Danio rerio: one gene and its partner. The protein of the gene in region 1 purifies or fractionates together with the protein of each later gene. This does not show direct contact. Links are inferred from orthologs where the notes say so. Each region holds a gene or a part of one and is shown in the gene's direction. Other genes may lie near its edges.

Evidence for each region.
Region 2: the proteins of bbs12 (region 1) and mkks purify together in Homo sapiens (co-immunoprecipitation; 4 studies listed by BioGRID and IntAct, counting the BioPlex papers as one, with this or other methods). This does not show direct contact. The link is inferred for Danio rerio from reciprocal best matches to the Homo sapiens genes BBS12 and MKKS.

Annotation. Positions count from the first base shown.
Region 1 is NC_133189.1:1,597,837-1,608,576, forward strand, and holds the start of bbs12 (Bardet-Biedl syndrome 12 protein), read left to right. Parts: upstream 1-3,810; 5' UTR 3,811-3,861; coding exon 3,862-3,900; intron 3,901-4,609; coding exon 4,610-6,552; intron 6,553-10,555; coding exon 10,556-10,740. Other genes in the region: uncharacterized protein cetn4, read right to left, coding at 1,626-1,781, 3,547-3,549. UniProt on the Homo sapiens protein: Component of the chaperonin-containing T-complex (TRiC), a molecular chaperone complex that assists the folding of proteins upon ATP hydrolysis.
Region 2 is NC_133188.1:38,935,294-38,945,291, forward strand, and holds the end of mkks (molecular chaperone MKKS), read left to right. Parts: intron 1-1,249; coding exon 1,250-1,440; intron 1,441-2,849; coding exon 2,850-2,960; intron 2,961-5,490; coding exon 5,491-5,904; 3' UTR 5,905-6,105; downstream 6,106-9,998. Other genes in the region: srd5a2b (3-oxo-5-alpha-steroid 4-dehydrogenase 2b), read right to left, coding at 8,666-8,732, 8,884-9,034, 9,171-9,272. UniProt on the Homo sapiens protein: Probable molecular chaperone that assists the folding of proteins upon ATP hydrolysis. Plays a role in the assembly of BBSome, a complex involved in ciliogenesis regulating transports vesicles to the cilia.

The DNA of each region.
Region 1 (10,740 bases):
TAATGACAAAAAACTTTGATAAATATAACAACAACAACAACAACAACAACAACAACAATAATAATAATAATAAGTTTAAATTATTTAAATAAGATAAATGAATTTACATTAACCATTTCTTATGGTGTGTATGTATACATATTTTGCAGCTAGTCTAGATGTCAATTCATCCTCTCCGAGTACATGGTAAAGTTTTTTCTGAATCATTTAAATTGAAAAATGAATAAGTCAATGTTTCAAATTGGGGGAAAATATTTCTCTAGTCGTGGTGTATTTAGGGCAGAACAGAAGGAAGTGTGTCTCAACCTCTATTTGGTTTGTGTCACACTGTTTACATATTCTCTGTTTTTTAGGGGTCCAGGATTTTTTATGTCTGCCCTTTTCTATTTCTAGTTCATGATCACTGAGGCGATATTTTGAAAGAATGTGTTTTTCTTTTAATTGTTTAATGTTCAAAATAACCATAAGATTTCAGAAAATGTGTCATAGTATTTAGTAATAGTATTTAAGTCATAGTAATTAATAAGCTGGAAAAATTCTGATGCTCATTATTTAATGTATTATTTAATATTAAAATGACATTTCAGGATAAAATGTCAATTATGAAAGAGTAAAAATCTCTTTATAAAACTATACATGTAGAGACATTTTTAAATACTGGACATTTTGGATGAAAAACAAATCATAATTCCATTATTATGAAATAAATGACAGTGCATAACGGTCTAATAAATTAGTTAATTATTTTCCCCAACATATTATATTTATTTATTGCAAAATGTTAAATTTAAAGCATAAATTTAAAGATTTTTTCTTTTTTAAATATTTCCTAAATTATGTTTAAAAGGGCAAGGAAATGTTCACAGTATGTCTGATAATATTTTTTCTTCTGGAGAAAGTCTTATTTGTTTTATTTTGGCTAGAATAAAAGCAGTTATTAATTTTTTAAACACCATTTTAAGGTCAATATTTATTAACCCCTTTAAGCTATATATTTTTTTGATAGTCTACAGAACAAACCATCATTATACAATAACTTGCCTGATTACCCTAACCTGCCTAGTTCACCTTATTAACCTATTAAAGCCTTTAAATGCCACTTTAAGAAGTGTCTTAAAAATTATCTAGTCAAATATTATTTATTGTCATGATGGCAAAGATAAAACAAATCAATTATTAGAAATGAGTTATTAAAACTACTATATTTAGAAATGTATTGAAAAAATCTGCTCTCCATTAAACAGAAATAAACGGGGACTAATAATTCAGGGAGGCTAATAATTCAGACTTCAACTGTATACACATTTGAATGCAAAAATATTTAAATATTAAGCAATTTGACAACATTTGTAATGTTTTTGTTGCATCAAAAAGTGCACATTATAATATCAACAGAGATATCATAAATGCAAACTGATGAGGATAACTGCAAGCATCCCTTTCGCTAGGCTGGCTCATATAATCTGATAACAGATTATGGATGTAACCTCAGGGTTGTGGGACATTTAATCAACCAGTAGTGAATAAGAAGTAAGACTAGTCACTTAGCAGATTTCAGTGTTATGTAATGGCAAGATTCATCCACTTTCTCAATAGCGAACACTAGAGTCTCAGAGTGTCTGTACCTTCAGTTCCTTGACATCGATGGTTCCAGAGCCGTCTGTGTCGAACAGATCGAACGCCTCTTTGATCTCCTGCTTCTGCTCTTCTGTCAGCTCTGGTTTGGGTCCTGCTTTCTTCCTCTGGTTTGCTGAAGCACTGCTTTTCCTGAAGCCGGACGCCTTGAAAATAACAGCAAAAAGAGAGATTCAGACACGTCTCCACCAGGGGGCGATAAGATTACACTTTAAATTATGTTTTTAAAGTTTTATGAAACTGTTTTTGAAATAGTCATGTCATGTATTAATCAAATAAGACTATCAACTGAACTTAAACATTGTTGGAGGTGCAACAGAAGAGCAAATGCAGAAATAAGTGAGCAGACACATCCTATATGTTGATTATCATGGGTTTTCTTTATATTTTATGTGTGTTTATGTTCATAATTCATATGTTCAGCATAAACGAGTACATCGCATTTTGAAAATTAATACTTTTATCCATTTCTCAGGGAACAAAGGTCATATATTTTGGTGCATTTAAACAAAACAGATTTAATAGACCAATATATTTATTTGAATAATATTTTAGTCACCAAAGATTGTTAGAAATAGAAAGAAAATACAAAACTACAAATTTTTAACTATAATTTTTTTGTTTCTCTTGATTTTTACACTTCTTTTTTTACATTTTAATTTATATTTTTTCCTAACAAATACATTTAGGTGGGCTAATTTTTAGATCATTATACGTTATTTTGGTAGATTAGCTCCAGATTTGGCTTCAGCAACGGACATATATGATAGAGGTAAAGTTGGTTTTATATTCGGATATTCAGACATTCTCCTTAATAATGTAATTTCAGAAAAGTATTATTTGAAAATTGTAAATAGCGAAATCATATTAGCAGCAAATGACCATCAAAGTACAACATTGTTTACAGTGAATTGCATAGTGTCAATGTTGTTTAGAAGTCATACTTGCATGCTAATTCCGATTGAATATTCAAAGTAACATGGTAAACAATGTAGAGACTTCTAAATGAACGAATATGCGAATATAAAACCAACTTTACCTCTATACATATATGTACATATATAATATTGTAAAGCATCCCATAGAAAATGTTCATTTAAAAGATAGATTTGTGATGTTTGTATTCATATATGCAGAGCACTGTCTCTTTAAGCTTAGGCTTTATATTCTAAACAATCTTAGGATATTCAAAAACTCATATTTAATTATGTAATGTGATTATATTTACGTTTACATTCAATCACTGGCAAAAACATTTACCCAAAGTGACTTATAATGCTGAGAATTCAGTTTTGAATCACATAAATACATTATATTTACAATATTTTCACACAGAAAGCAGTTCTTAATATTCAAAAAGAAAATTAATGTTTAATATTGAAATAAATGGAGCATTTGTGAGCAGAAAATATTCATAAAGGAAAAAATAGCAATGCAATGTTGATGCGAAATGTCTTATTTTAATGTAAATATGTTTGCATTCATGTTTAATCTGGTTTTGCATCTTTTGCCTCAACATTGGATTTTCAATCAATAGGTTAAATAAAGGCCACTTAATCACACCTTTACATACTTTACTCACTCGTTGTTAATCTGTAATCTGGGTTGATGGATTAGTTTCATAATCACACACGTAGATTTACATTAACTTAAGTGTAATTAATTAGATTCAACACATACTGTAAAGAATAACCGTGTAATTCAAATTAAACATGTTTTATTCATAATGTAAATTAAACTGTTTTTACTCTGTTGTTTTACTGTTTATAAAGCGAATAGCCGCTGGTTTCCATAACAATAACGCCAACAAGCTAACTGTTTAGCTAACAAACAGCGTGTTAACCTTTTAAATACATTATACTGACACGAATTCGTTAATAAAGTATTAAAAGTAACCTAAATAACACTTACCATTTTGATAAAAAGCGCAGAATAAAAGCACCGTGTTGTAACCTGCGTGAGATGTTAGTAAACAGAAGGAAACGCTGTCAGCAACTGTCGTGGCTTCCTCGAGCGCGCAGACTGGGCGTGGTCCCAATGTGAGTGACAGCTGATTGATCCAATAGCAGGCGTAGCTACTCTTGGTGCTTACGGTTTTACCAATCAAACATGAGCGGGCGGGATGTGTTGAGTTTGATGGACAGCTTGGTTCGTTTGGCGTCCGTCTCTTAGCAACTATTCAATAGAAGCCGTGTGCTAGTGCAGTGCGCGTGCGCATTTCAGAACATGGACCCGAGTTGTAAACAGTGCAGCTTTGCGATGAAGGTTTGTAACGATTCAGTTCAATCAGGACGTTATTTATGAAAGCTTTCGTGTACAAACTTGGATTTGACTCGGATTTTGAGCAAAATGATACCCAGATCATTTGAAAGTGCGTTGTTTTGCTTGCATGAAGTACAATAGAAGCTACTTTGCTAATGCTGGATGCACTGTTATCGACTGTTGTCATTCAGAAACATTCAGTTTTCTCATTGTAGCTACAAAGAAAGCATTTGCTGTCTTTCCTAACTTATTTCACACTTTAAGGGTTACAATGGGGTTTAATCTATGTGAGAAGAGAGCACAACTGAAGCAGTGCTAGTTTAATTGTAATTCTTATTAAATGCAGAGTTAAAAGATGAGTAATATTTAATAAACGTTGAATAATGACATTATTAACTTCATATATAACATCTTTATTAGTATTATATTATATTATTATTAAAATACGTTTGCACTATTATTTGTCTTTATTATTAATTTCATATTTTTTTTTAAATTGTCAACTTCATTTCAGTAATTGTATGATCCATGTACTTAATGTAGTAATAACTATAAATGATGCATAATTTCATGCAATTAACCCTAAACCTGACCCTCATCCTAACCCTGACCACGTAGCAAGGTATAATTTACACTGGAACACAAAGTGTGTCCTTTTCTTTATATAATTCAATATTTTTACAAACTATCTCCTCTTTTTTTTTTCTCTCAGCGGCGTCACATCGGCCTCCAGCAGCTGCAGGCCATCACATCCACCGCTCATGCATTTCTAGGTCCAAACAAACGGCTGAAGTTCATTCAAGATGAAGACGCCGGGGATGCAGTTTTAATCGGATCCTGTCCACGTCTGCTGGAACACCTGGAGCTGGACGGATCTGTCGGACAGCTGCTGCACGAGACAGTTCTGGCCCAGAAGAAGCTCTTCCACTCGGGCACGAACACGCTGATGTTTCTGGCCGGAGCCTGGAGCCGAGTCGCTCTGGAGTGTCTGAACAGAGGAATCAGTGTGTCGGACATTAAATCAGCCATGAGGGGAGGACTGCAGGAGTGTTTGGATGCATGCACACAGTTAGCGGTCAGTGTGGAGGAGTTTAAGAAATCTGATGTTAGATCTAATGATCAGTGCATTGATATGATGGTCAAACACAGCAGATACATTAATGCACGAACTAAAAACACACAATCTGATGACAATGTGCAAGATTTTAGAAAGTTAAGTATTAAATCAGATGATCAGTGCATGGATATGACACATAAACATAGCAGATATGCTAATACACAAACTGAACACGCACAATCAGATGACAATGTGCAAGATTTTAAGGGATCAGGTATTAAATCTAATGATCAATGCATGGATATGACACTCAAACACAGCAGATACATTAATACAAAAACGGAACACGCACAATCAAATGTCAATATGCAAGATTTTAGGAAGTTAGATGATAAATCTGATGATCAATGCAAGCATATGACACTCAAACACAGCAGACACTTTAATGCACGAACTAAAAACACACAATCAGATGTCAATGTGCAAGATTTAAAGGGATCAGATATTAAATCTATTGATCAATGCATGGATATGACACTGAAACACAGCACACACTTTAATGCACAAACTGAACACAATATGCAAGATTTTAGGAAGTTAGATGATAAATCTGATGATCAATGCATGTATATGACACTCAAACACAGCAGACACTTTAATGCACAAACTGAACACACACAATCAGAAGTTACTATGCAAGATTTTACGAAATCAGATATTAAATTGGACAATCAAAGCATGCATATGACCCTCAAACACAGCAGACACTTTAATGCACAAACCGAACACACACATCATGATGTCACTGTCATCGCACAAGCCGTCAGCCACGGATGCTCCTCCATGCATTTACTTTTAAAAGCGTATGAGTTGCAAAACCGCGCACATCTGGATATACACAATCTGGCAACGTGCTGCATCCCAGGCGTATCTGAAGATCATGCGTGTGTGTTGCGTGGGTATGTCACACTGCTCTCAGTCCAACAGACGACCCAAGTTCAGCGCCTTCAGGGACGTCCATTGAATATCGCTTTAATAAACGGCGATTTATCTGAGAAATATCGCCATGTGGGCTTTAATAGGCCTGGAAACATCAAGCACATCACCGATTTGTTCATCACTGAGGAATCCTGGATTGAAAATGCATACAAACTCCTGCATGATTCCAGTATTGATGTTGTGTTTGTGAGCGGTGTGGTTGATGTGGATCTGAAACAGAGATGCAAAGACGTTCTGATTCTTGAAGGTGTTAAAAGCAGCGTTTTGAAGCATTTCAGCACATGCACCGGAGCCGTCCCGGTGTCCTACATCTGTCAGCTGGATGAGCGCCGCGTGGGCCGAGGGCTGAGGCTCAGGAAAGAGTCGATCAGTGGGAGATCTGATATTGTGAGCATCACCACTGACTGCTCGGTTCTGGTCACTGCGGTTATATGCAGCTCTGTGTCTGCTAAACTGCAGATGCTGGAGGATGAGTTCTGGAGCTGCGCGCACCGGCTGCAGCATGCGCTCACAGATGGGAAACTTCTGCATGGCGCTGGAGTCACTGAACTCATCTGCATACGCCGGCTTCGACAGTACACACAGCTGCACCCTGACAGGTAATTTGTTATGTTTATTTAAAGGGGAGCTATTATGCAGAAATCACTTTTATAAGGGGGTTAAACACAGTTGTGTGTCAGCAGTGTGTGAATATATCCAGCTCATAATGGTAAACATGAACTAATTTTATTCGTTATAATCAGACTTGATAAGAACAGTCTGCAGAAACACTTTGATTGACATTCTCCCCTTGTACGTGTCATCAGAGGGGGAAGCCCCGCCCACAAGTGACCATCTCTCCCTCATTAGCATAGGACGTTAGTCTTATTTTTGAATCTGCCACTATGCTGACACAGGCATTTGTAGCTCCGCCCTCTTCTGAAATCTCATTTGAATTTAAAGCAACAGTCACCAAAACGCCACAATTAGGATCAAAGTCTAATGGCCCGGTTCCACTGAGTGGTACGGTTTGGTTGGGTACACTTTTATGGCCGTTTCTACAGTCAAAAGGTACCTAAAATTGAATCGTACCGTACCACTTTTTTGGTATCCTTTGCCAAGGGTATGAACGTTATGAAACGTTAACGAATAAACGTTATGAAAACGATAGTTTGTTGTACAGTTGGCGGTTCACTTCCGTTATTTGGTACGATTGCATTCATACCAGAAGTGAACCGAACCAGAGTTCGCATGAACCGTACCCCAGACCACCTCTTTCAGGGAGCTTTCACACGAAGGGTGCTTTCACACCAGTGAATCGATTCAGTTGTTCCGAAACAGAGATTACAATTGTTACATTGTTGCTCTTTGCTCTTGGAGCGGTTCGCTTTCACACTGCAAAGTTTCTAATCGGACCAAAAGAGCTAAAAACAAGTCACGTGCGAGTAAACTCTCCTCACATTAGTCAGGGTGTCAGGGTTTATTTTGCAGCGTCCCGCTCAGCTGTCAGGAGAGGTGGTGGTTTGGTGGTGATTGACAGGGTGCGCGCGCGATGTGTCTGCGGAGAGATGCGGTGGGGAAGGGTGCGCGACATAGCCTATTTGAGGACCGGGAGGGAGACGCGAGATTACCGGGAGATCATCACTCGTTTGCGGGCATCCGGAGACTCGCGAAACTTCCCGCCCTACTCATAATTCTCTCTTCTTATAGCCGTATGCCTATTACATATCCATAAAACACTGTGATATAACCGCGCTCGGATCGGATCGCTTTCTCAATGCAATCGATCTGCTCCAGGGTTCGTTTCAATCGAGCCGAGACCACCTCATTCAAGCGATCTCGGAGCGATTACTTTGGCATGGAACAGAGCGCGATTGCCCTGTTCACATATGCCAAACGAACCGCGCTAACTGGGCAAACGAGACACGTTCCGAAACAAAAGTGTAGGTGTGAAAGCACCCGAAGACTTTTGGTCCGCACCTGGGGTCGTTTGACGTCATAGTATGGTACATTTAGCTAGTGTGAACGTGTCTTCTGAACTCAGGTGCGCACCTGTGAACCGTACCCGAGTCTGCCTGAAAGAGGTGGTCTGGGGTACGGTTCATGCGAACTCTGGTACGGTTCACTTCTGGTATGAATGCAATCATACCAAATAACGGAAGTGAACCGCCAACTGTACAACAAACTATCGTTTTCATAACGTTCGTTTGCGTGCGCGTGTGTGTGTGTGTGTGTGTGTGTGTGTGACGTATCGTACCTTGGTGACAAGCGGGACTGAGCCAGGGCAAACACAGTGATAATTTCTTCTTGTCTCTTCTAAAATCAGCTTCTGCAGACACTAGCCCCTTTCACACAGTGATACCGGTAAATATCCGGAAAATTTCCAGAACGACTTTACCGGTATATTCAAAAAAGCGCTGTTCACACAGGCGAGGACGTTACGGAAATTTGCCGGAAAAGAGCATTCACACATCCATTCCAAAATACCGGTAAATTCTGACATCATTCACCACAAATGAGCTTTAAACGGCTGCGCTTGTGTTTGTAAACCTTTGACTAAATTACAAACTCTGTGGATGATCAATATTGTGAACAACTTTTGCAGGATCACTTTCGCATGTCGAGATGTTCATAATATGAGCGTGTGCAGGCGCTCACAGGCTGTTTCACAGGCACACGCAAAGCTTGAAGGTAAACAAACAACGGCTTATCATAAGCATCTCATCGATGGTTATTTACACAGTTGGCACTAAGAAGAACATAGAAACGTGATCTGACTAACTTCTAGCAGATAAATGTGTCTGGAAAAATATTCAAAGGCTTTTATTCTCATAAACCGCGCGGACGTAAATGCGTCTGACTGTTGTGATTGGCTAAAGCAGACGTCTCACGTCAGCATGTTCTAGACGTGCACGCGATTATTACGGCAATCTTCCTTCTGCATTCACACAGCGCAGCATTCCGGCAAATTGCCGGTAATGTTACAACTTCTCTTTCCGGAAAATAGCCAGAGCGAATTTACCGGTATTTTCAAAAAGGACCTGTTCACACATACAACCTTTCCGGAAAATTGCCGGCAATTTTCCGGAAAGGTCTGTATGTGTGAAAGGGGCTACTGTGTGATGTTCTGAATGTTTATAATATGGTTGCGGCAGATAGACGTGAGTCGCTTTCTGTATGTCCAAAACTAAAAGATTCAGTAAAAGCAAATTGACCGGGATGTGCGGAAGTCTTTTGACGCTTTGCTTTTGTGACCGTCACCAACTGCCAAATAATGGAAGTGAACCGCCAACTGTACAACAAACTATCGTTTTCATAACGCTCATTCGTATGTGTGTGTGTGTGACAAGGGGGGACAATCAAACTTTGATACGGTCCAGGCAATTGAACCAAGTGCGAAAGCACCCTTATGCTGCGTTCACACCAGACTCGGAACGCACGTCAAACGCGAGTGATTTTCATGTTAAGTCAATGTAAACGCGCGAATAAACATCCGGCGCAGCGATAATGATGCGAATTGCGTGAATGGCGCGGTGCGAATGCCACGATACGTGCAAATAGCATGGTGCGAATTGAGCGTTTTGCGCCTTTGACGCGCGAATCGCCCGAGTTCAAAAATCTGAACTTCAGCGGACATTCACGCCGCATTAACCAATCAGGAGCTTGCTCTTGTGGGGCCGTGATTGTGACGCATCGCCTGTTGTTGGTGTCCTGGGGGAAATCCTCCAGCCGACATCGGCAAAAAGTTCATCAAACTGGGCTTGGCTCAGTCAGAAGCACCGCTGAAAGCCTCCGTCAGCCAGGTAAAGTTTCTGGTGGAGTTTATGAGCTCATAAAGCTGGATGCATCTCTGAAAGGATCTAGTGGACTCAGAGACGGTCCTAAACATATCGACGCTGTTTTTCAGTCTTCATTAAGCACATAAACACTGTTATTTTCTTCATAAAGTCCATGTTAGCCATTTAGCAATGAAGCTAGTGTCACCAGGCAGACTGAAGCCCTGCCCATCACGCGAATCCGCGTCTGTTCTGACGTGAAATTGACGCACAAATGAAGCGGATTTGAAGCGAATGAAGCGAGTAAAATGTTCACGTGGCTATTTACGCGCGAATAGCTAGATTTATCCGCGCGTTCCGCGTCTGGTGTGAACACAACATAAGGCGGACTCGGGTACGGTTCACGGGTGTGCACCCGAGTTCAGAAGACACGTTCACACTAGCTAAACGTACCGTACTATGACGTTAAACGAACCCGGGTGCGGACCTAAAGTGCTAGTGTGAAAGCTCCCTAATTGATTTCAGACATATTGAGTCAAAATTAAGTGAGTTTTTCTTTTAAAACAAGCGAAATAATCTACCAATGGGGTCAGCAAAGTGATATTACGTCTCTGACTAATTTGTTTATCTCATTGGCAGATTATTTAGCTTGTTTTACGGAAAAACTCACTTAATTTTGACCCATAATTTCTGAAAACAAGCCATTTTTTGCTTGTTTATAAAATATTTAAGAATTTTTTAGTATTTGGACTTGAAAAATTTGACACCCTGTAAGCAAGACACCTATTTCACTCTTTGCATAAGTGCACATAAATATGGCACTTTAAAACCACACTGCTTGTTTCAGAAGCCCTCATGACAGTGCGGTCCTGGAGCTGATGTCTGAAGCCTGGATGGACTTCATCTCTACTGTAATGCTGAACAGCGGCTCGGTGGCGAATAGAACAGAGGCCTGGACGTCTATCACACATCAGATGAGACGACACACAGATATAGGAGTCACAGATGGACTCGGTGTGTATGATAACGTGA
Region 2 (9,998 bases), on another chromosome or scaffold:
CCGAGGTTCGAACCAGCGACCTTCTTGCTGTGAGGCGACAGCACTACCTACTGCGCCACTGCTTTGCCCCAAAATATCATTAATGAGTATTATTATTATTGTACTATTAAAAATGTAGTTATAAAGTCTAGCGTTATATTATTGGTTGTGTTTATTATCCCTATTCTGCAAAGATGCATTAAATTGATTAAGAGTAAATCTTTATATTTTAAATTAAATTTTTAAAAGCTTTTAACCTTTTTTTATTTTCAAGTAGTGTCAAATTAGTGCATTAGAACGATTTGTGCAGGATCATATAACACTGATTCCTGGAGGAACGGCTTCAGCTTTGCATCACAGGAATAGGTTCCATTTTAAAATATAATAATTCTGAAAATGGTTATTTTAAATTGCAGTGCTGCAGGATTATGTTTTTTTATCTTTATATTTGTTTACCCTAAACGTTTGAACTGTAGCCCATATCAGGGGTTCCCAAACGTTTTATCCTAAATTTCTCGAAGGTGGTTATAAATATACAAACGTTTCGCAAACAACAATATGCCTGTATATAAACACAAGTATATTGACAGCACAAAAAAGTACAACAGTCTAACAGTCATATCATTTTATAGTCATTTATTAATTTATTTAATTTAATATTAACCACACCTAAAAAAAACTGTTGGGCAAAATATTTTCAGCACAAGTCTATTCTTGGTTTATTTTAGAGATAATAATAATGGAGATCATCCTCAATATTCAGTTGTGGCCTGTATTTATTTTTAATGTATTTAAATGTCAGAAAGGTGTCAGAAAGTTTACCCTGGTGCTATAAAATCAATCTGCTGCAGCTGACACTATTGCTGTGTTGCTAATCTAACATAATCGCACTAATCCTTTAAAAAAGAAGTTTAAAGACTGATGCTTTTCATTTGCATGTTTTTGTTTTTTACTATTAAAAACTACTATTTATCTTATGTGGCTTATGGTTAAAATCAATGGTTTAATACAATTTATTTGACTTTTGAAAATCACAAAGCGACTCCCTGTCATTGTCCTGCAACCCCTCAGGGGGTCCTGGACCTCTCTTTGAGAACCACTGGTCAATATATATGAATTTACTTTTTATTTTTATTATTTAAAGCCATGCCTTTGCTTACGTTATTGGTAATAATATGTAATATTATAGTCCAATGCAGTAGAATTTAAAGTAGATGTTAGTCTCTACATTCATAGAGGCTTAACTTGAACACTTATGCTGATATTTCAGGTGCACGGGCTGTTGCATCTCTTTTCTCTCTGGTCCCGATGGAAGCTTATGGGTTGGTTGCTGGATTATGTTTCCAGGACTGTGGATCCAAGAAGCTGCTTCAGCTCCTCTCCTCTAAACATGCTGCAATAAGCACTATGGTCCTCTGCCACAGAAATGAAACTATGCTGGAAGAACTGAAGGTTTGTGCAGTTGAGTGCTTCTTGTTATTTAGACTTTTTTATTTTAAATTTTAATTATTTTGTTTAGCAGTTTGTTTTAATTTGATTTAGATGTTTGAGTTGATTAGGTTCTGCTTCAGAAGCTCTCATTTTGAATCATATCTTCATTCTCAATTTGACTCAGAGATTGAAAATACACTCACAAGCCACTTTATTAGGTACATCTGTCCAACTGCTTGTTATTGCAAATTTTTAATCAGCTAATCAAATGGCAGCAACTCAATGCATTGAGGCATGTATACATGGTCAAGACGATCTGCAGCAGTTCAGAACGAGCATCAGAATGGCGAAGAAAGGTGATTTAAGTCACTTTGAACATGGCATGGTTGTTTGTGCCAGATAGGCTGGTCTGAGTATTTCAGAAACTGCTGATCTACTGGGATTTTCACGCACAAATCAATCACCAGATCTCAATCTAGTACAGCACCTTTGGGATGTGGTGGAATGGGAGATTCGCATCATGGATGGGCAGCCAACACACTGCAAAAAATGCTTTTTTTTCTTAGATTTTTTTGTCTTGTTTTTAGTCCAAATATCTAAAAATTCCTAAAACAAGAAGAATTTTCTAGACAAGCAAAACATTTTATCTTGTTTTGAGAAATAATATGCCAATATTAAGTGGGTTTTTCCTTAAAACAAGCAAAATAATCTGCTAATGGGGCAAGCAAAATAATCTTACGTTAAAAGAAAAAGCAAGATTTATTTGCTTACCCCATTAGCAGATTATTTAGCTTGTTTTAAGGAAAAACTCACTTAATATTGGCATATTATTTCTCAAAACAAGACAATATGTTTTGCTGTCTAGAAAATGCTTTTTGATATAAGAAATTTTCGATATTTAGACTAGAAACAAGACAAAAAATCTAAGCAAGAAAAGCATTTTTTGCAGTGCAAATCTGCAGCAGCTGTGTGATGCTATCATGTCAATATGGACCAGAATCTCTCAGGAATATTTCCAGTACCTTGTTGAATCTATGCCTATTTATATGAATCTATTTTTTTCCAAAACACATGAAATGTTTCGCACAGAACATGTCACTTAGGACAATTGTCATACTTTCAAGTCTTAAATATTTTCTTTTTGTTTGAACTATCTCTATAAGCATTGATCTTAAGTCTATATAGCACTGTCTCCTCAAATCAAGGAGGTCACTGGTTCGAGTCCAATTCTGGTTCTGGTTCCACTGGTTCTCCCCATGTTCGCATTGGTTTCCTCCGGGTACTTCGATTTCCTCCACAGTCCAAAGACATGAATCCAAATGAAGTCAAACTTTTTTCCAGATTTAATGAACTCCATTTGTTGTTCATTCAAATGTATTGCATTGATTTCCTCTTTCATTGCTCTGAAATGATGAACATTTGTTCCATTTGTCGGACAGATGACTTGCCAGAGAGCAGAACATGTGTTGCGACTGACTCTGAGGGAGCCCTACGCCCTGCTTGGAGGCGGCTGCACAGAAACACAGCTGGCCACCCACATCACACATATGGTATTCTATTACACTGAGTTACACATCAGATTGACGTTCAGTTCTACAATATTGATTAGAAACTTTCACAAGTCAGAATTTTACAAAAGAGTTTGTGCATTATATAGTACATTCCTCATTTAGAAATGTAAAAAATGTAGATATTATTGGGGGGTGTGCAAACAAACATAGATATTATTGGCGGGGTGTATAAACCATTACAGTTTGCAGCTTTTGTTGGATCATTCACAATTTTGGGTTGCATCATTTTAAGAAACAGGTGTGCGCCTCCAAGAATAAATTGTTTTTTGAAAAAAGCAGCTCCTCCAAATTGGCAATATATATATATATATATATATATATATATATATATATATATATATATATATATATATATATATATATATATATATATATATATATATATATAAACATCAATAAGGTTACCATACATCTGTTTAAAACAATGCGCTTGATTGTAATAAAATGTTTTGTTAATTTAATCTACAGACAATTACATGTTTGCATTAAATAAGTAAATTTTATTTATAAACAAATTTCAAGAGGATCATATGCTTATGATTGATCACAGCTGGTGCCGCATTAGCCATCACATGATACAACTCATAATAAATAACCAGAGTTTCTTACCTCAGCTATCTTTGTCTTGATGTATCCCTCCTTCCACCCCAACTCCTCCTCCCTTTTCCTTGATAGGGTGGCATCTTCACAGCAAAAATGTCACTGGTTCATATCCTTACCAGGCCAGTCGACGTTTCTGTGCAGAGTTTACATGTTCTCCTCGTGCTCACGTAGGTTTACCCGGACATAACCATTTTTTAAAAAATGTCTGGTGGTAAATCATACTAAACGTTTACTATTTAAGGTCCGTAGGATTACCTAAATGATTTACATTTGCTAAATGACAGAATAATGAGAATTTTTCTATTAATTTCCAGAGAGTCAAAAGTTTTCATTTCTTTGGTATTTTTTTAGCTTTGCTTTTAAACTGTAACTCTTTTCATATGTTTTGGGTATCCTTCCACTAGCTTCTCACAATAGTTTGAAGGAATTTTGGCCAATTTTTCCTGACATAACTGGTGTAACTAAGTCAGATTTGTTGTCTGTCTTGCTCGCACAAGCTTTTTCAACTCTGCCCACAAATTTTCTATAGGATTGAGTTCAGCACTTTGTGATGGCCACTCCAAAACATTCACTGTGTTGTCCTTAAAGCACATTTGAAATAATTTGGCAGTATGCTTAGGGTCATGGTCTGTTTGGAAGACCTATTTTTGGCCAAGTTTTCATTTCCTGGCTGATGTCCTAAGATGTTGCTTCAGTATTTCTACATAATGTTCTTTCTTCATGATGCAATCTATGCTGTGAAGTGGACCAGTCCCTCCTGCAGCAAAACAGCCCCACAATATGATGCCCCTATACTTCACAGTTGGGATGGTGTTCCTAGGCTTGTAAGCTTTCCCCTTTGTCCACCAAATGTAACACTGGTCATTATGGCCAAACAGTTCAGTCTTGGTTCCATCAGACCACAGGACATGTCTCCAAAAATTATTCTTTTTCCCAGTGTAATTTAGCAAATTGTAATCTAGCTTTTTTTGTTGATTCTGGCTCATTGATTTCCCCATGTTGTCACAAAAGGAAACAATATGTTTGAGGTTTTCCCTAAATAGTATTCTACAGTTGTGCCTCAAATTAACTCAAATGTTGTCAATTATCAAAAACCTCAAAAACCTTGCCGACATCATCTTAGCTTTTCAGAGGCATAATAATGCTATGTACACTTGACTTTCAAGAAAAGTTATAACAATTTTTCAAAAAATATCTCTCTTATTATTCTGCTATTAAACATAACAGAAACAAATTTGATAATCCTAACTTAACTAAAAGAGAAAAAGTTTAGTCACATTAACATCTGACTTTTTTAAATGGTTATGTGCCTTTTTATACGGTGTATGTAAACTTCTGGTTTTAACTGTAAGTGAATTGACTAAACCAAATTGACACCATAGATTAGCTCTTAGTCAGCAGTATATCTCTCCATAGCTATTCCTAATTTGTAATTAGCCATAAATAAGCCCCTATCTGAGCTCAAACTCTCCTCTCGCCCTACAAACGGGAGGGAGCCCTAGGCTGGAGGATCTTATGAGCGCAGGGCTCTCTCCTGGGACAGCATGCCAAACACGCTTTATAATCTATCATCAGCTATAAAGTGTGATCTCTTGAATTTTAAATAAGATTGAATTATTTTGAGGCTGCAGTGGTCAAAAATTATTAAAAACACTTTGACAAGGTTTGATGACTGTAGAAACCAATTAATTATCTTCAAAAACTTGGACAAGGAGTTGTGTAGCATGGTCTGAAAGGAAGGATGTGATCCTATTAATGCTGTTTGTTGTACTAAGCCCTGAGGAACCCCTATAGCTGGATGTTGCAAGTGGGTTACTTCACCTATCAGAGACACAATCACAATAGACATTCCATTGAAACACCCATTAATTAACTTCTGTTTTAATTCTTGTTTTTTACTTTACAGAATCAGTCCACAGCTCCAACCACTGCTGCAGCTCTGGGTATTTCCCATTCAGAGTTCCTGATGGCAGTCGAGTCATTTCGCAGTTCTTTACTTGCTGTGGCTCTTTCCTTAGAGCATGATGGACAGGACTGTCTCATTGACCTGACATATGGCCACAGATGGGTCATGGATATCAGTTCTCAGACAGAAGTTAAGCACACCTGTGGTTGTGGACTGCTGGAGGACAGATCCAACCTGGAGAAGACTCATCTAAATACAGCTTGTCAGACTTTTTCTCCTGTTTTCCTAGAAAACAATGACACTCAGCCTAAAGTATTAGATTCCTTTTCTGCCAAGCTTAATGCGTTGAATGTGGCAGTTGAGATGGCTAGTTTGGTTCTTGATGTAAAATATATAATCAAGGATGTTAATTGAATGTTGGTGAAGAATTGTGATTTGAATCAAGGATGATTGGTATGGTAGGTTTTTATAATCTGATGTTTTTTTCCTCCAAGTGGTAATATAAAAATATTATATTTCTTACTCAAAACAAATTTTATGAGGAAAATATTTGTAAACAAAAAAACTGTAATGTCAATTTTATTTTAAATAAAATGCTCCAAGCCTGGGCTAAAATGAACTCTCACGTGTGGCAAATGCAAATAATGAAGATCTTAAACAACTATAAAAGTTTGTTTGGCAAATACTAATATCAATGTTGATAATAATTATTATCAAATAATATAACTATAATTAATTAGGCAGTAAACAATATATTAATGGCCACTAACTTTTACCAACCATTGGTAGATTTGCCAAAATTTTACTTTAGGCCAGCTTCAAATGTCAGAATGGTTTTTTAATTAATTTATTTTTTTTATGCAAACAGTTAAACATGTTGCCACAAGGATGAATTTTTAAAGGCACGATAAAGTTTTGTGACTGTAGGTGCATTTCCTCAGTTTAGCAGTTAAAGGTGTGGTAAAAGTTTTATTTTGGAGTCTGCCTCAGTCACTGTCATTGTGCCTTTGAGCAAGCACTTATCTCCAGGTAGAGTTGTTGAAATTATTGCAGTATAAGGTTTAAAACATCTGCTTAATTTCCACACAAGTTTCTATTTTAAATGAAATTATACGTTGTAGGAAAGAACAAGCATGTTTCCTAGTAATTTTTTACATAAGGGTAAAGTTTTCCTTTTAAATTTATATTGTATTTTAATATACAGTTATTAATGGATATTAAAATATAGCCATAGATACGGCACATCCAGGCCCGGATTAAGAATTCAGAGGCCCCTGGGCACAATGTCCTGTAGGGCCCCCTACCAGGCCGCACCCCTATAGTTGAATTTAAAAATTTGATTAACATTCATTCATTCATTCATTTTCTTGTCGGCTTAGTCCCTTTATTAATCCGGGGTCGCCACAGCGGAATGAACCGCCAACTTATCCAGCAAGTTTTTACGCAGCGGATGCCCTTCCAGCCGCAACCGATTCCTGGGAAACATTCAAACACACACTCATACACTATAGACAATTTAGCCTACCCAATTCCCCTGTACTGCATGTCTTTTGGACTGTGGGGGAAACCGGAGCACCTGGAGGAAACCCACGCGAACGCAGGGAGAACATGCAAACTCTACACAGAAATGCCAACTGAGCCGAGGCTCGAACCAGCGACCTTCTTGCTGTGAGGCGACAGCACTACCTACTGCGCCACTGCTTCGCCCTAGATTAATATAATATTTTTTAAATAAAGTTAATCTATAATTTATTGCCCACATTTTTTTAAACAAATGATATAGTACATATATTTCTAGTCTTCAAAGATTTGACTAATTTTTAAGCATTTTAAGTACACTTTGAAAAAATACTAATAAAACTAGTGAACATGAATGGTTTTTAATATACTTGTTCAAGTTCACTGAAGCAGTTCTAAAAAATTATATTAAAGGTTATTTTTAATGTATAACTTACACAATTATAATGCATATGACTTGGATAGTTTACAGTTCTATAAATCTGAGTCTTCCATTATAATACACTTACTTATTAATGATTCCTACTGTCTCCCTCGTGGTGAAGAGTGGCTCAGCAATTAAAGATTCGAGTCAATTTTATACGGTAACAGCTCATTGAACAATTTACTAGCCTACTTGTTTCAGAGTTCTTAGTTCACTCAGTGAGTCGACTCGCTTTATGCCTCTTCAGATTCAAGGGAATCACTCGGACATTTTACTGAACCGATTCAACTGATTCAAATCAAATGAGCGATTCGTTTTCGTTGTAAACATTGTTTAATCGTGGTTGGTAAATTCTGAGGTCTGAAGATACACTAATCTGGCTCAATGTCCATAATTGACGACTGAGGAGTATTGAGGTACCAATTACTTGTCTTTAAAATAATTTATGTATTTTTCTTTTCCAAATGTTTTAGCTTTTTCTGATTCCACAGCTTGCTCACAATATTTGCTATACTGTAGCCTAAATGCTGGCCTTTTCCCACTTTGGTTCCTCAGAAAACCTTTAAAAATGTATACAGTATTACACCAGATATTTTATACAAACACCCATAACTGATTCATATTTTATACAATTTGATATTTTTGATTTAAAAGCCTGTAGGCCACATTCTTCTCTCTTTACATCCTACTTTCAACGTCTTGATTAAATGATTGTCGCTTTTATTAAATAAAACAGAGGATTAACAACATTTCTAAACCAAGTAGTTTAATTGTTCTATTAATACCTTTTTACTTTAAAGATGCAGTAAAATAAGCATCACCGACTTGCAAAATTGTGTTCAGAATTACCAGACACTGTCAATACCCCTAATCATTCAACAAAATGTAATTACTGATTTTCAAACGAGCCGGTTAAGACGCTTAGGTTTTAATACTGTAGCATCACATAGTATTGACACTGTTTAGGGAAATCAACCCACTTACAATTATCACAAAAAGATGACACAGTTTCACACTAACAACTGCAACAAAATATAAGCAAGTAATAAAACATTCTGTTATATGATTTATCCTTTACCATTACATTTTCGAGTTATACATTTTAGTTACTTTCCTACATGTGGCAGAATTTCCCTCATAATGTATGGTAAATCAGGTAATGAAAACAACCCCAAGAACAGCTCTTCATTGCAACAGTTGAGAAGATGAATTCATTTTATTCGTTGTGGCTCCTCAGAAGATGAAGGGAATGAGAGATCTTCTTGATCTGGGGAAATCTTTGAACTTCTCATTATAAAACCTGGAAGAGATTAGAGTAACCACTTCTAACATTTATTTCCGGCATTGTACTGTCGAAAATCAATTTACTGAATCAATCGAAATTCCAAATGAAAGCATGTTAGAGTAGTGCAGTTTGTATATTTCTGAGTAATTGATGAATTTCGGTTTACTTGTGATGATGATAGGCTCTGGGGCCTATGAAGCAGATTGTGAAAAAAGCAAAAGCGAACGTTGGTAAAGACCATGTAGCAACAGCGTATCCCAGCCACTCCACTATCTCTCCGAAGAAATTTGCTCCAGACACGTACTCGAACATGCCGCCTGCAGTTAAAACGAACACATAAATCAGCTCAGCATTTATTCGCTGACACTAATTGGGGTTTGCTTAGAGAGACTAAGATAGAGACAGTAAATGATGAGTGTTGCTAACATTACAAAGAACCTGATGTATTTGTACCTCTCGGGATTTTATAGGATATTTCTCCAGGGTTTCTCAGGTTTCGAAGAATGTGGTCACTGTGGATATTGATTCCCATTCCTAGGAAAAATATGATCAGACCTAGAAGCAAAGATACAGTTTAAAATAATTATCATATACATGTGTATTCTAAACTTCATGAACTCTTTATCACTTTAAAAGGCACTTTAACTGCCTGGTTGGCCTTTTTCCCAGTTTATTGTTAAAATTAAAACTTTTACTTAGAGTGCAAGTTATTTGCAGGTTATTTAATTCTGCTGTTATTACACATACTATACAATTAAATCCATAGAAAATGTATACCTGGTACCAATAAAATGAATTTTTCTTTCAATTTACAGTGATTTCTTTTAACCATTAAACTACAGTGTGCAATGAATCATTTAAAAATTGTGTAAAACACCTATTAAAACCCACATGAAAAGTTCTTGATCATTTGGTATCAGAAGTGGCTTATACGAAAAGCAAAGGCCTCAAAATTGCACTCATTTTACCAAAATAAAATATCATCATGCCTTAATTATAAATTATTTAATTAGGACAGTAAGGTATGAATTTGCTTAGACAAAACTTTTGTAACTTAACAGAAATAATGTACAGTTGTAACGGGGAGACTGACACGGAGGGATCCATTTTGCAGTATTTATTAAGTCACACTTAAACATCAACAATGTCGCTGTGCGGACATACAACATACACATCAAAGGAGGTTTAGCAGATAACAGACGCAGAGTGATTACCAGGCTTGGGTCAGAGGCAGGCAGCGTGATTCAGAGTCCGTGTAACAGGCTTTGGTCAGGTGCAGGC